Linked DNA regions of Macaca mulatta. The protein of the gene in region 3 interacts with the protein of the main gene of each other region in a biochemical or structural test. Links are inferred from orthologs where the notes say so. Each region holds a gene or a part of one and is shown on either strand. Other genes may lie near its edges.

Evidence for each region.
Region 1: the proteins of OIP5 (region 3) and HJURP form a complex in vitro, tested with the Homo sapiens proteins (2 studies listed by BioGRID). The link is inferred for Macaca mulatta from reciprocal best matches to the Homo sapiens genes OIP5 and HJURP.
Region 2: the proteins of OIP5 (region 3) and MIS18A form a complex in vitro, tested with the Homo sapiens proteins (3 studies listed by BioGRID). The link is inferred for Macaca mulatta from reciprocal best matches to the Homo sapiens genes OIP5 and MIS18A.

What each region holds. Positions count from the first base shown.
Region 1 is NC_133417.1:139,127,727-139,131,736, forward strand, and holds the start of HJURP (Holliday junction recognition protein), read right to left. Parts: upstream 2,801-4,010; 5' UTR 2,310-2,800; coding exon 2,214-2,309; intron 1,752-2,213; coding exon 1,685-1,751; intron 474-1,684; coding exon 418-473; intron 1-417. UniProt on the Homo sapiens protein: Centromeric protein that plays a central role in the incorporation and maintenance of histone H3-like variant CENPA at centromeres.
Region 2 is NC_133408.1:15,067,789-15,072,067, reverse strand, and holds the start of MIS18A (protein Mis18-alpha), read right to left. Parts: upstream 2,801-4,279; 5' UTR 2,766-2,800; coding exon 2,435-2,765; intron 1-2,434. UniProt on the Homo sapiens protein: Required for recruitment of CENPA to centromeres and normal chromosome segregation during mitosis.
Region 3 is NC_133412.1:18,677,395-18,681,474, reverse strand, and holds the start of OIP5 (protein Mis18-beta), read left to right. Parts: upstream 1-1,274; 5' UTR 1,275-1,321; coding exon 1,322-1,643; exon of another isoform or gene 1,644-1,727; intron 1,728-1,901; coding exon 1,902-1,968; intron 1,969-4,080. Other genes in the region: NUSAP1 (nucleolar and spindle-associated protein 1), read right to left, coding at 833-925. UniProt on the Homo sapiens protein: Required for recruitment of CENPA to centromeres and normal chromosome segregation during mitosis.

The DNA.
Region 1 (4,010 bases), on a different chromosome or scaffold from region 3:
CTCCCCTCATCTCTCTTCCTCCCATTTCAAAACAGGAAGAGAGACATTCTTCTTCCCTAGAAGGAACTGGATTTGGTCTTTTCTGTGAGCCCCTCGCTGGGCTGGCACGTGGCCTTGGGGAGGGTTACCCAGCTGGCCCAGCCTCTGCATGTGTGTTATCAGAGCCCCTCAGCCTGTGACACAGGAAACACAGGGTGACACAAAAGGCCAAACATTACACAGTGCCTCCTTGCACTTGACAAGCTACAGAAGAAACGCTTCTAAATCCTTAAAAACAGAAAAAGAGTATAATCAAGGTGAGAAGTGCCCCGTGGTGGCCTCTGCATAAGCTCAGAGGTTGGGCACACCCACACCTTTATTCACATCAATGCTCCTCCACAGCAAGGTTATGTGGCAATAAAATTTGACACTAAATACCTGGATCTCTCTTTCGTTTCTTTCCTTTATTAGTCTTCCACCCCAAATTCTCAATCCTGAAGAAAAGAAACAAAAATGACCATTGACATAATCCTGAACGCTGAACTTCTGCTCAATCTGTGTTCACTGGAAGCCAAAGTGACAGGCAAAAAAAAGGTACAAAATTAAAACCAAGCCAGGCTTCTGATACCCTGCTGTTGTTCCTCTTTGTAAAGTTTCAGGTTTTTAAGGCAAATGTGTCATTGATGGAACTCTCTCTTACCTACTAGGCAATGGCTCATCAAATTACATCATTAGCCCAAAGAGTTACATGAAAACAAGGAACATATGTGACAGCAACTGTCCTTAAAATACATAAAGAGAGGACAATCTATATACTATTTAGAGGGAGTAAGCACTTTTCGCAGGCAATCTCTACATCCCATATACGGAATGAATGCTTTCTAAGGGCAATCTACATGTTATACAGAGACCTGCCACTGGAATATTTTAGTTTCTGCCTATGTAAACTTTTCACCCAAGATGCGCCTGGATTGCCTATAAAGGCGGAAAGGTAGGATTTCTTTTAATTCAAGGAGCAGATCTTGTGAACCTTTTGTGCCCGTCTGTTTAATGCAACACAGAACGTGCTGTGAGGTTTGTTTTCATTAAGTGATACTGAGTTAGTTATAAAGCTATACGGGAGGAATTGACCCCAGCCAGTGCAAACTGTCACCAGCTATTTACCAAAAAGAATCCACAAGATTTCAGTCCGTTACATTAACTATTAAACGGAATGCCTTCTCCCTATTCAAGTACTTGGAGCCTCAAGGAAGACAGTTACTACTCCAAGTTAAACAGGGCAAACAATAGTCAAAGTGAGTATTGGCAGTGGAGGGTGGGTACTGTTCCCAGAGTTTCACAGGGATTGTACGTAACTGTTACAACACCCCTGCCCAGGAGACATTATTGTCAGCATCCTTCCCATTTCACAGATGAAGACACTGAGACCAGTCCAGCTAAGCAACTGCCCCGAGCTGCCATGGTGTGGAGATGGCCAGCGGGGATGCCAACCCGGCAAGCCGGAGGCGTGCGAGCCAGGAGGCACCTATGTCTCTTCAGGAATTGTTTTAATAAGTAATCCAAGTAATTTACAGGTTTAAGGGCACCAATGTTTTGGTTCCTATTAGGTGAACAATGTTTACTTCCTAAAACAGCAGTGACAGCATTTCAACTACTCCATTCGCACTCTTCACCCGAATACTCAGAAGGCGAGGATGACACTTACCCTGTGGCGTCTCGTAGGTCAGCGTGGCCATTTGCACCACCGGGGTGTCCTCGAAGGGCTGGTTGTACTGTGGAGGAGGAGGGGTTTCCTGTCAGGTCCCAGGGGCCTCAGACCCCGGCGGAGGCGGCGCCAGCCCGCGAGAGGCCGTTAGTCTGGCCGGGGGCGCCCCAATCGCGGTCTCCGCAGCGGAGTCCGCAACCCCGCCTCTCTCGTCCCACTCAGGAGCCCCCCAGCCCCACCAAACCCTCCTCTCTGCACCCGAGCCCCAGTCCCGCTTCCCCACTCCCCGCTCCGGAGGCCGCAGTCTTTCCTCCCCGTCCCCGCTCCGAAGCCTTCGGCGCTGCCTCCTCCTTCCCTCTCTGGAGCCCCCAGCTCCGCCTCCACCTTCTCTCCGCACCCAAGCCCCAGTCCCGCTTCCCCAGCACCCGCTCCGAGCCCTCAGAGCCCCTTCCCTTCCCGTCCTACGTCCCCTCCCAGCCTCACTCCGACCCGCAGGCCTCCCCTCCTGGCGGACCGGCGGGGGCCGCACCTTCTCTATCAGTAGCTGCATGCGCCTCTGGAAGCGGCGGCGACTGGCCCTGAGTTTCTGCAGCAGCGGGTCGTCTTCCACGTCCTCGCTCTCCATGGTGCGCAGCGGACCCAGAATCGTACCAAGCCGCAGACTTAACCGCTACCCCAGCGGCGACCCGGACCGCAGGGCCCGGCGCGCCGCACACTCAAATAAGCGACTTCGCCCTTCCTGCCTTCCTCTCGGTTTTCTATTGGCCAGCGCGGAGAAGCCGGGCGCTGATTGGGCCTTTCAAACAAATTTGCATCCCTCCTCCCGGCCAATCCACGCCCGAGTTTCCAGCCACGCCCCAAGAAGCGTGTCCGGCGGAAGGGAGGGTCGGTCTCCGGTAGCCGAAGTGGGTGGAAGTTGCTACAATGGCTCTGTGCTTGTTAATCAGCGGGGCTGTGCGAGATCCGGTGGGATGCGTGTCATCTCCCGCGCTGTGCACCGGAGATAAGTACGGCCTGGAGATTTCTGCGTGACTTGCTCTAGGTGTCGCCGCCGGGCGGGGGCCGCCTTCCTCACTCGCCCGCCTGGGATCCCGGCGCGGTTTCGAGGGCAGGGGCCTAAGAAAGACAACCCCAAATTACCAACCCAAAAGGAGGCAGGATAGCGAAAGAAAAAATAAGTCTCAACGAATGACACATTTAAAGATGCTGACAAATGCCATACACATCACAAAATCCAGGAAAATACTTGTTTTAACCCACCTTTTCCCCCATGTATTTCTGATTGCATATTCTGCTTCTTCATTGATATTAATCTTGTAATATTTTCTCCAGAGAGAAGAGCAAGATAAATCAGTCTTTAGTATGGCTGATGGAATTTGTGATTGACATCTTAGGAATGTCAATCCTAAGGAAACACAGGGTGACTTAACCACATTTGTGTGCTTGTGCTGATGTGATTACCATAGTATGTGATTGAAAATAAAAGCATTACTGAGCACCAAGAGGTCCCTTAGAGGGGGATCTTCACCTCCTTTCAGCCTGCACGGCAATTCTATCATGATGTCCTGCAGAAATTTAGGTGGGGGTGGGGGGAGCGTGAGAACTTTGGGGCTCATGTAGTGTGTGTGACCACAAAATGTGTTGCGTTGGGCCGGGCGCGGTGGCTCAAGCCTGTAATCCCAGCACTTTGGGAGGCCGAGACGGGTGGATCACAAGGTCAGGAGATCGAGACCATCCTGGCTAACACAGTGAAACCCCGTCTCTACTAAAAAATACAAAAAACTAGCCGGGCGAGCTGGCGTGCGCCTGTGGTCCCAGCTACTCGGGAGGCTGAGGCAGGAGAATGGCGTGAACCCGGGAGGCGGAGCTTGCAGTGAGCTGAGATCAGGCCACTGCACTCCAGCCTGGGCGACAGAGCGAGACTCCGTCTCAAAAAAAAAAAAAAAAAAAAAATGTGTTACGTTGTGCTGGACACAGAGATGTGCTGGCCTGATTCCCCTTAAGATGCCACAGCTGCTGGGGGGCAGTTGGCAGGGGCCTTCAGTTGTCAGCCTATTCTGGGACGATTCAGTTGCAGAGAACTCCCTCACCCAAGATCCTGCTGCCCCAGGGTGGCCCAGCGCCAGTGACTGATCCAGGTGGGAACAGGAAGGCTGTACTATTTCAGTCTGATGGAAGAAAACCCTGGGCCACTTTATCTTCCGAGCTCTCAATTCCACGGAATTGGATGGGGTAACCTACCAATCCTGTTTCTTTCCCTCCCTTCCTCCCTATATAAACATCCTCTCAGTCTTCTCCAGTTGCAGGATCTACACATTTAATTTGT
Region 2 (4,279 bases), on a different chromosome or scaffold from region 3:
AATGCAGGGTCATATTACTCCCCTGCCTAAGCTAGCATAATAATGTACTTACTAGAACAGATTACTACTCTTTAGAACAGACTAAAACGTCTTGCAGTTTCTGGTCTCTTCCTTCCTCCCTAAATCTTATCTTTATTCTCTTTGACCATACTCTAGTCTCAAGGATTTTGCACCAGCTGCTCAGCACCTATCAAAAGCAGAGAGCATGACCAAGAACTGTACCCGCAGCCCAGCTAGCATTCACGTATAAAAACAGGAAAATATTTTCAAGCACATAAACTTGAAATTTTCTTGGAGATGTGGACGTGGGGAGCACTAAAGATTAAGCAAACAACTCAGGAATGAAAAAAGCTATTAAGAAGCTTTCTTATGTTAATGAGTACTGGAGTTGGGGAAAAAAAATTATATAAACATTATAGGATCGGGTGCTCTAACTCACATTGGTAATCCCAGCACTCTAGGAGGCTGAAGCAGGGGATTGCTTGGGGCCAGGAGTTTGAGATCAGCCTGAGCAACATAGCAAGACTCTGTCTCTACAAAACATTTAAAAATTAGCCAGGTGTTAGTTTGTGTCTGTTGTCCCAAGCTACTTGGGAAGCTGAGCTGGGAGGACAGTTTGAGCAGGCATTCAAGGTTACAGTGAGCTATGATTGTGCCACTGTACTCCAGCCTGGGCAACAGAGGGCTGTTAACCCACTATAACCCTATTAAAAAAATAATCTATTAAATAATTAACCCTATTTTAAAAAATCATAGTAAGGCTGTTATGTCTACAACAGAATGTAAATGTACAGAATGTAAATGTATAAACCTTAACAAAATGAAAATAATTAAACTAATTCAAATTGGGTAAGGAAGGAATGGAAATGAATCGGAATTCATGTTTGTCTTTACGGGGGTGGGGGGGAGGGCGGGGAGATGTTAAATCCTATTATCTAAATCTGATTAATCAAAAAGTGTATAGTTCTTTAAACTATGTTTACTATTTTAAAACTACGTTTTAAATTTAAAAACTATTAATATAAAAATTAACAAAAATAATTGCCTTTCTATAAGTAAAGCAAAACAAAGAAAAGAGGCCACATGGTAAAAGATACTATCGAAACAAAGTACAAATAAAATGAAAGATGTAACACCAAACATGTTATTTCTTAAAAAGATGTAAACAAGGTAAACTCATTCAAAGAGCTTTTCCTACTGGATCAAAAATCTGCCTGGTTTTTTTTTTTTTTTTTTTTTTGAGATGGAGTCTAGCGCTGTTGCCAGGCTGTAGTGCAGTGGCGCAATCTCGGCCCCTGCAACCTCCTCCTCCCTGATTCAAGCGATTCTCCTGCCTCAGCCTCCGGAATAGCTGGGATTATGAGCGCACACCACCATGCCCGGTTAATTTTTGGCTTTGGCGAGGGTGGTCTGGAATTGTTGTATTTTCAGTAGAGATGGGGTTTCACATGTTGGCCAGGATGGTCTCGAGCTCCTGACCTCGTGATCCGCCCATTTCAGCCTCCCAAAGTGCTGAGATTACAGGTCTGAGTCACCGCGCTTGGCCTAGTTTGATTTTAAGAGGTGCAAAGAGTTTATCTCAACTTTCAGTTAACTAGGGGGACACTGGTGTGCTCCTTTATTCCCAGTATTACACCAAGGAAAACGTTCCAGAAACGTCGATAAGCCGGTGATGAATTTCTGCCATCGAAACATTTACAGTATTCAAAGAGAGGAAAAACCTCATCTTGAAAAACCACAATCCAAAACAACAGCCATTTTTACACCAATTCAGAAAAAATATGTGAACCACTTTATCCCTAAATACTGTAAAAATAGCAAAATGAGGGAACAGTGGAAAAACAGGTAACTGCTAGGACGAGGATTAGAAACGAATTCCCGCCGCCTTCTGAACTCTTTTGCTACTACGTCCTCCTTCCTCGCCAATTTTGATGAGGTTGGTGGTGCTTTTACGGCAAATTTCCTTCCCTTTCTTCCCCATAGCACTGTGTTCCGTCAGCTCCGCGGCCCTATCACTGGAGACTGTAGAGGTATCCGCTGATACACACAGCCCGCTAATTTCTGTGGGGAGTAATAGTACTGGCTGCACCTCAAGTGCTTACAGTCTAGTTGACCATTTGTTTCTCTTTTTTTAGGGTCTTTAAAAGTGTTATTCTTTGTTGCCCTTTGCTTCTGAGTAATGCTCACGATGATGCTGACTCAACCGCTGCTCTTCTGGGATCGGGGAGCCCAGAACAGAACCAGTCGCCCGAGAACCAAAGTGGAGGGGTGACCCTCCTCCCCTTTTCCTGCGACAGCTCACACTCTCAGACTTTTTGCTCTCAAAGTCCCTGGACAGCGCCAAGGAGCCCCCGCCCCCTCCGGGGCCGCCCCGGTGCGGCACACCTGGAAGAAGGCGACCCCACGCCCCCATGCCCGGCTCGACCCAACTGACAGCGCAGCAGGATGCAGTTGGTGTCCTCCTGGCTGGCCACCCAGCTCAGCGAGTCGCCCAGCGGCCGCCGGCAGCCGCAGCACAGGAACACCAGCGGCCTCTCCTCCGCAGCCCCCGCCTCCTCGAGCCGCGCCTTCTCCGTGTCGGCCACCGACGCGTCTTCGCTCACGGAGCTCCACATGCTCGCCCACTTCTGCAGCAGCTGGTGGCGGCTCGAGTCTTCGGAGAGTCTCTTGCCCAACAGCGAGGAGTCGCTGCCCTTGCCCTTGTCGCCGCACTCACAGCCGCCAGCGCATCCTCTGCTGCACCTCAGGGCCCGAACGCCCGCCATTACCTACAAATCGCCCGCGCCCCAGAGCGCGAAGGGAAAAAAACCCGCCGCTGCACATGCGCGGGGCGGGGCGCGTTGGCGGAGGCCGAGAAGGGGCAAACGCTTGAAGGGGCCGGACGGCGGGCGGCTTCTAGTGCGCATGCGCGCCGTGCGCCCTTGGCCTGGCGTGTTAGTCACTGCGCCTGCGTCAGGTTTTCTAGCCTGAAGAAATTAACGCTGCTGACCTGTTTGCTTGTCTTCCTAAGGATTATTCACCCCTTTCCGTGGGAGGGGCAGCGTCACTGAGAAAGTTACGGGCTGCAAGCCTGAGTGTCTAAGAACCACCTGGCGAGCTTCTTAAACAGATCGCCAGGCTCCATCTTCACAGACTCTGGTTCAGCAGGTAGCAGGTTAGCCCGAGAATCTGCATTTCTAACAAGCTCCTAGGCTTGCCCACGCTGTCAGTATTGGCAGCCCAACCTTTTTTGGGGGATGGGGAGGAGTCTTTCTATGTTGCCAGTCTCGAACTCCTAGCCTTAAGCGATCTTCCCGCCTCGACCTCCCAAAATGCCAGGATCACAAGCGTGAGCCACTGTGCCAGACCACCACCCTTTTTCTTCTTTTTTGTAAATGGACTAATTATAGTTGCATATAAGCGACTCCACTTGCTCCTGGGGGCCTCCTTTCCATGAAGTGGAGAAGGAAGGGGATAGGGGAGCCCCTCGTCACAGGGTCTTTTTGCGCATTGCTATTCCTAGAATGAGACCCTGGGAAGGGCCCCGGATCACTCAGGCTGTCACTGCAAGGAAAAAGTTGAGGAAGCAGCCATGCCCCTGGAAAGCTTGGAAGTGTGCCTGCTGCTTGGATCAAGGAATAATTCGTCCTTGCAAGGAAGAAGCATCCCTTCTTGATGATAAGGACAGATTTCCCCAGCTGCCCCAGAAAGCCAGCCTCTGCCTAAAACACCATAGGTCAGGAGGGAAAGCTGACGGGGAACCAGCCAGCTTTATGCACCGGAGACAGCCTGGTGGCATACCTGGGAAGAAAGCTACCTGCAAGGACCTACCTCTGTTCCCACTACGCGCTGGGTGTCCCCCAAGTCACTGCCTACTTTGCTTGGTTGCATAAACTATTTACGTACTTACAGCCACTAGCAAAAAGCAAAAGCTTTGGAGTCAGTGGTCCTGGTTAACTTACCCCTCCCTCCACAAGGTAGTAACAGTGTAGGGAACTGTGGAAAAGGCTGTTTGCTTTTCCTGAGTCTGATTCTTCCTGGAGTAAATGGAGTCTGTTTCTTCAGTACTACACCAAGTTGTTCATAAGGATCAAGTTTTCTAATATTCATGAAGATACTTTGTAAACCCTAGCACACCATGCTCATGTTAATGAGCTTCTTACTGGAAGAAAATGCTTTAGATAATTTAGGCTTTTTTTTTTCCACCCATAGAATTCCCTTCCTTCCTTCTGCTTTTTTTCCTTTATTTTTTCAGAGATGATGTTTCAGTATGTTGCCCAGGCTGGTCTCGAACTCCTGG
Region 3 (4,080 bases):
GGCGATTCTCCTGCCTCAGCCTCCCGAGTAGCTGGGATCACAGGCGAGTAGCTGGGATCACAGGCGTGTGCCACCACGCCCGGCTAATTTTTTAATGGCCAGGCTGGTCTCGAAATCCTGACCTCAGGTGATCCAACTACCTTGGCCTCCCAAAGTGTTGGGATTACAGGCATGAGTCACCGCGCCCGGCCAATTCCCCTAACATCTTGTAGCCTCGGAGTCAAAGACCTTACTGGTTTTGATAGATACCATCACCACAACAGTCATCAATAAGCACATGAGTATACTAGATCAGGGCTGAGTTATAAAAATTTACCCAAGGAGGTGGTCCCCTAAAAGTAGATTTTTTCTTTCCCCCTGACAGGTCCATCAATAAAGTATCAAGAGATTATCGGCAATATTACAAATCACTGAAGTCTGTGTGGGGTTTTCTAGAAGCTGAGCCAATTATTTACTTAATTGTCTAACGATTAACGACACCCCTTCTGCTTTCTGGGCCTGCGTTTCGTAATCGATGACCTGAGAGGTATAAAGTAATTTCAAAAAAAAAAAAAAAACCACAAAAAACGAAAAACAACAAACCACCCCTCGGAACAGAGGCTTATCATGTGAGCACCCAGACAAGCCAGCTTCAAAATGAGGTGAAAACTACAGTTCCTCTTCCGTTTATCAGAGTTCTAACTGGGACCACCGTGAACCACATCTACTGCCCGAGGGGCAGGGACGGCTGCTTCAGTCCCCGGGCTTCCCGCTCGGTCCCTTCGCACCGCATCTCCCTGAGGCCGCTACTCCCGCCGCGCCCGCCCAGGGAACTGCCCCGCCAGCGTCGTACCCGCAGGTTGGCTCGGAGACCCAGACTCTTGGCTAAGTTCTGCAGGTCACTGTACTTGAGGGAGTCCAGCTCCTCTAGGGAGGGGATGATCATCGCGATTCAAAATCCCGGTGATACTCAGAAGATGGATCACCAAGTCTCGTAAGCGAGGTTCAAATCCCTGGCGCCACTCTTAACTTTGACTAAGCTGAAATTTATAGACAGTTTAAATGAAGAATGCCGCGCTTCCATTGGTTGAAAATGCCTCAAAGGCGGGGTTTCTAACCCTGACCAATAGAAAGGCTGATTTCCCGTCCCAACAGTCGCGCGCTTTTCTCACACTTCACGAATACGCAGGCGCCGAAGGGCCTGTAAGGCCGGTTCAGGTAACGAGTGCGCGGACTGGGACTCCAGTGCTTGGATTGCCCACGATGTCCAATGAGGACGCAGGAGCTGTGCTTGGGGCGGGGCCTGGCGTGTATTCGAAACGACGGCGCCGGCTGAGAGAAGATGGCGTTTCAGCCGCGGCGGCATCGCTCCCCTTGTGCAACGCCGCCCCAGGGTGACTTTTGTGATGGCACTGAGAGGGCGATTGACGAAGCATCTTTTACGACCTCCATGGAGTGGGATACACAGGTGGTGAAGGGGTCCTCGCCGCTCGGCCCCGCAGGGCTGGGGGCTGAGGAGCCGGCCGCCGTCTCGCAGCTGCCGTCTTGGCTGCAGCCTGAGAGGTGCGCTGTTTTCCAGTGCGCACAATGCCACGCCGTGCTCGCCGACTCGGTGCACCTCGCCTGGGACCTGTCGCGGTCCCTTGGGGCCGTGGTCTTCTCCAGTGAGTGCAGTGAGGCGTTCGGGAAAGGCAGAGGCTAGCCCGAGAGGTTGTTCCCGCCTTCTCCACCGGGTGGCAGAGAACCACCTGGGGAAGAAAACGGAATGAAAATTTGGAAGCACATAACTCCTTGGCCTGGGGATGGGGCAGGGAACTGGGGAGTCTCCTGACATTTATGGCGGGGATGAGTCTGTCTAGAGGAGAGATTTTCCATTTCAAGGCCCGCAGAGTATGAGTTCTGACCCGTGTTTGTGTTCCTAGGAGTTACAAATAACGTCGTTTTGGAAGCGCCCTTCCTAGTTGGCATTGAAGGTTCACTCAAAGGCAGGTACGTATTGATAATTACAGATTGGTCTCTAGTCCCTGACTTTATGAGACTGAGGAGCGTGGAACTGACATGTACTTGTTGAGCAAGTCTGTTGACAGCATTTCCTTTTTTTTTGTTGGTTTGATTTTTTTCTTTTTGAGATGGAGCCTCACTCTGTTGCCCAGGCTGGAGTGCGGTGGCGCGATCTCGGCTCACTGCAAGCTCTGCCTCCCAGGTTCACACCATTCTGCCTCAGCCTCCCGAGTAGCTGGGAAGGCATGTGAAGTCATGCCAAATTGTGAATATGAAGAAAAAAATGGGGCCGGGCGCGGTGGCTCACGCTTGTAATCCCAGCACTTTGGGAGGCTGAGGTGGGTGGATCACATGAGGTCAGGAGTTCAAGACCAACCTGACCAACATGGTGAACCCCCGTCTCTACTAAAAATACAAAATTAGCCGGGCATGGTGGCACACACCTGTAATTCCAGCTCTTTGGGAGGCTGAGGCAGGAGAATCACTTGAACCCGGGAGGCAGAGGTTGCAGTGCACTGAGAACACACCATTGCACTCCAGCTTGGGCAGCAAGAGCAAAACTCCATCAAACAAACAAATACATGGAAATTAAAAGTGCTACTCCAGTTATAAGCTGATATGGAGGAAGTTTGAGTGGTATGAGTAGAAGATCAAACCAGCCACAGCATTCCTTTAAACCAAAGCCTAATCCAGAACAAGGCCCTAACTCTCTTCAATTCTGTGAAGGCTGAGAGGTGAGGAAGCTGCAGAAGTTTGAAAGTAGCAAATGTTGGCTAGGTGCAATGGCTCATGCCTGTAGCCCCAGCACTTTGGGAGGCCGAGGTGGGTGGATTGCTTGAACCCAGGAGTTTGAGACCAGCCTGGGCAACATGGTGAAATGCTGTCTCTACAAAATACAAAACAATTTAGCCGGATGTGGTGGTGCACACCTATAGTCCCAGCTGCTTGGGAGGCTGAGAAGGAAGGCTGGCTTGAGCCATAGAGGTCGAGGCTACAGTGGAGCTGTGATTGTGCCACCACACTCCAGCCGGGGTGACAGAGCAAGACTATCTAAAAAAAAAAACAGAGGTTGGTTCTTGAGATTTAAGGAAAGAAACCTTCTCTATAACAAAAGTCCAAAGTGAAACAGCAAGTACTGATGCAGAAGCTGCAGAAAATGAAAGTGGGTACACTAAACAACAGATTTTCAGTGCAGATGAAACAGCCTTCTATTGGAAGAAGATGCCATCTCAGACTTTCATAGGTAGAAAGGACAAGTATTACCTGGCTTGAAAGGAGCTGGTCACAGTGACTCACACGTGTAATCCCAGCACTTTGGGAGACCAAGGTGGGAGGATTGCTTGAGCATAGGAGTTCAAGACCAGCCTGGGCAACATAGCAAGAACCGATCTCTACAAAACATTTAAAAATTAGATGGGCATTATAGTGTGCACCTGTGGTCCAGCTAATTGGAAGGCTGAGGTGGGAGGATCACTTGAGTCTGGGATGTCAAGGCTGTAGTGAGCTGTGATGGTACCACTGTACTCCATCCAAAAAAAAGAAAAAAAAAAGCTTCAAAGGACAGGCTTTCTCTCTTGTTAGGGGCCAATGCAGCTGATGACTTTAAGTTGAAGTCAATGCTCATTTACTGTTACTATCTATAGCTACTATAGATAGTTATTCCTCTGATGGATATGGGCAAAGTAAATTGAAAACCTTCTGGAAACCCAGCTAAATTTTGTATTTTTAGTAGAGACGGAGTTTCACCATGTTGACCAGGCTGTTCTCAAACTCCTGGTCTCAGGTGATCTGCTCGCCTCCCAAAATGCTCAGATTATAAGCGTGAGCCATTGCGCCCGGCCCAGTAAATTAATTTCCACTGACACATTTGTTTATAAGTACTGTGCTTTGTCTGAACTAATTAATTCCTACGTGGAATTTCAAATTAATGACACTTTATTTCACAGTTTGCTTTTTGGTTACCTATATTCACAAGATTACTATATGTGTGGTGTGGGACTTCATTTACCAATAAACCTAATATATTTTGTTATTTGTTCTTTTTTAGTATCCATTGACATGAATATTTCTTTTTAGCTATGTGTTTTTTGTTTTTTTTTT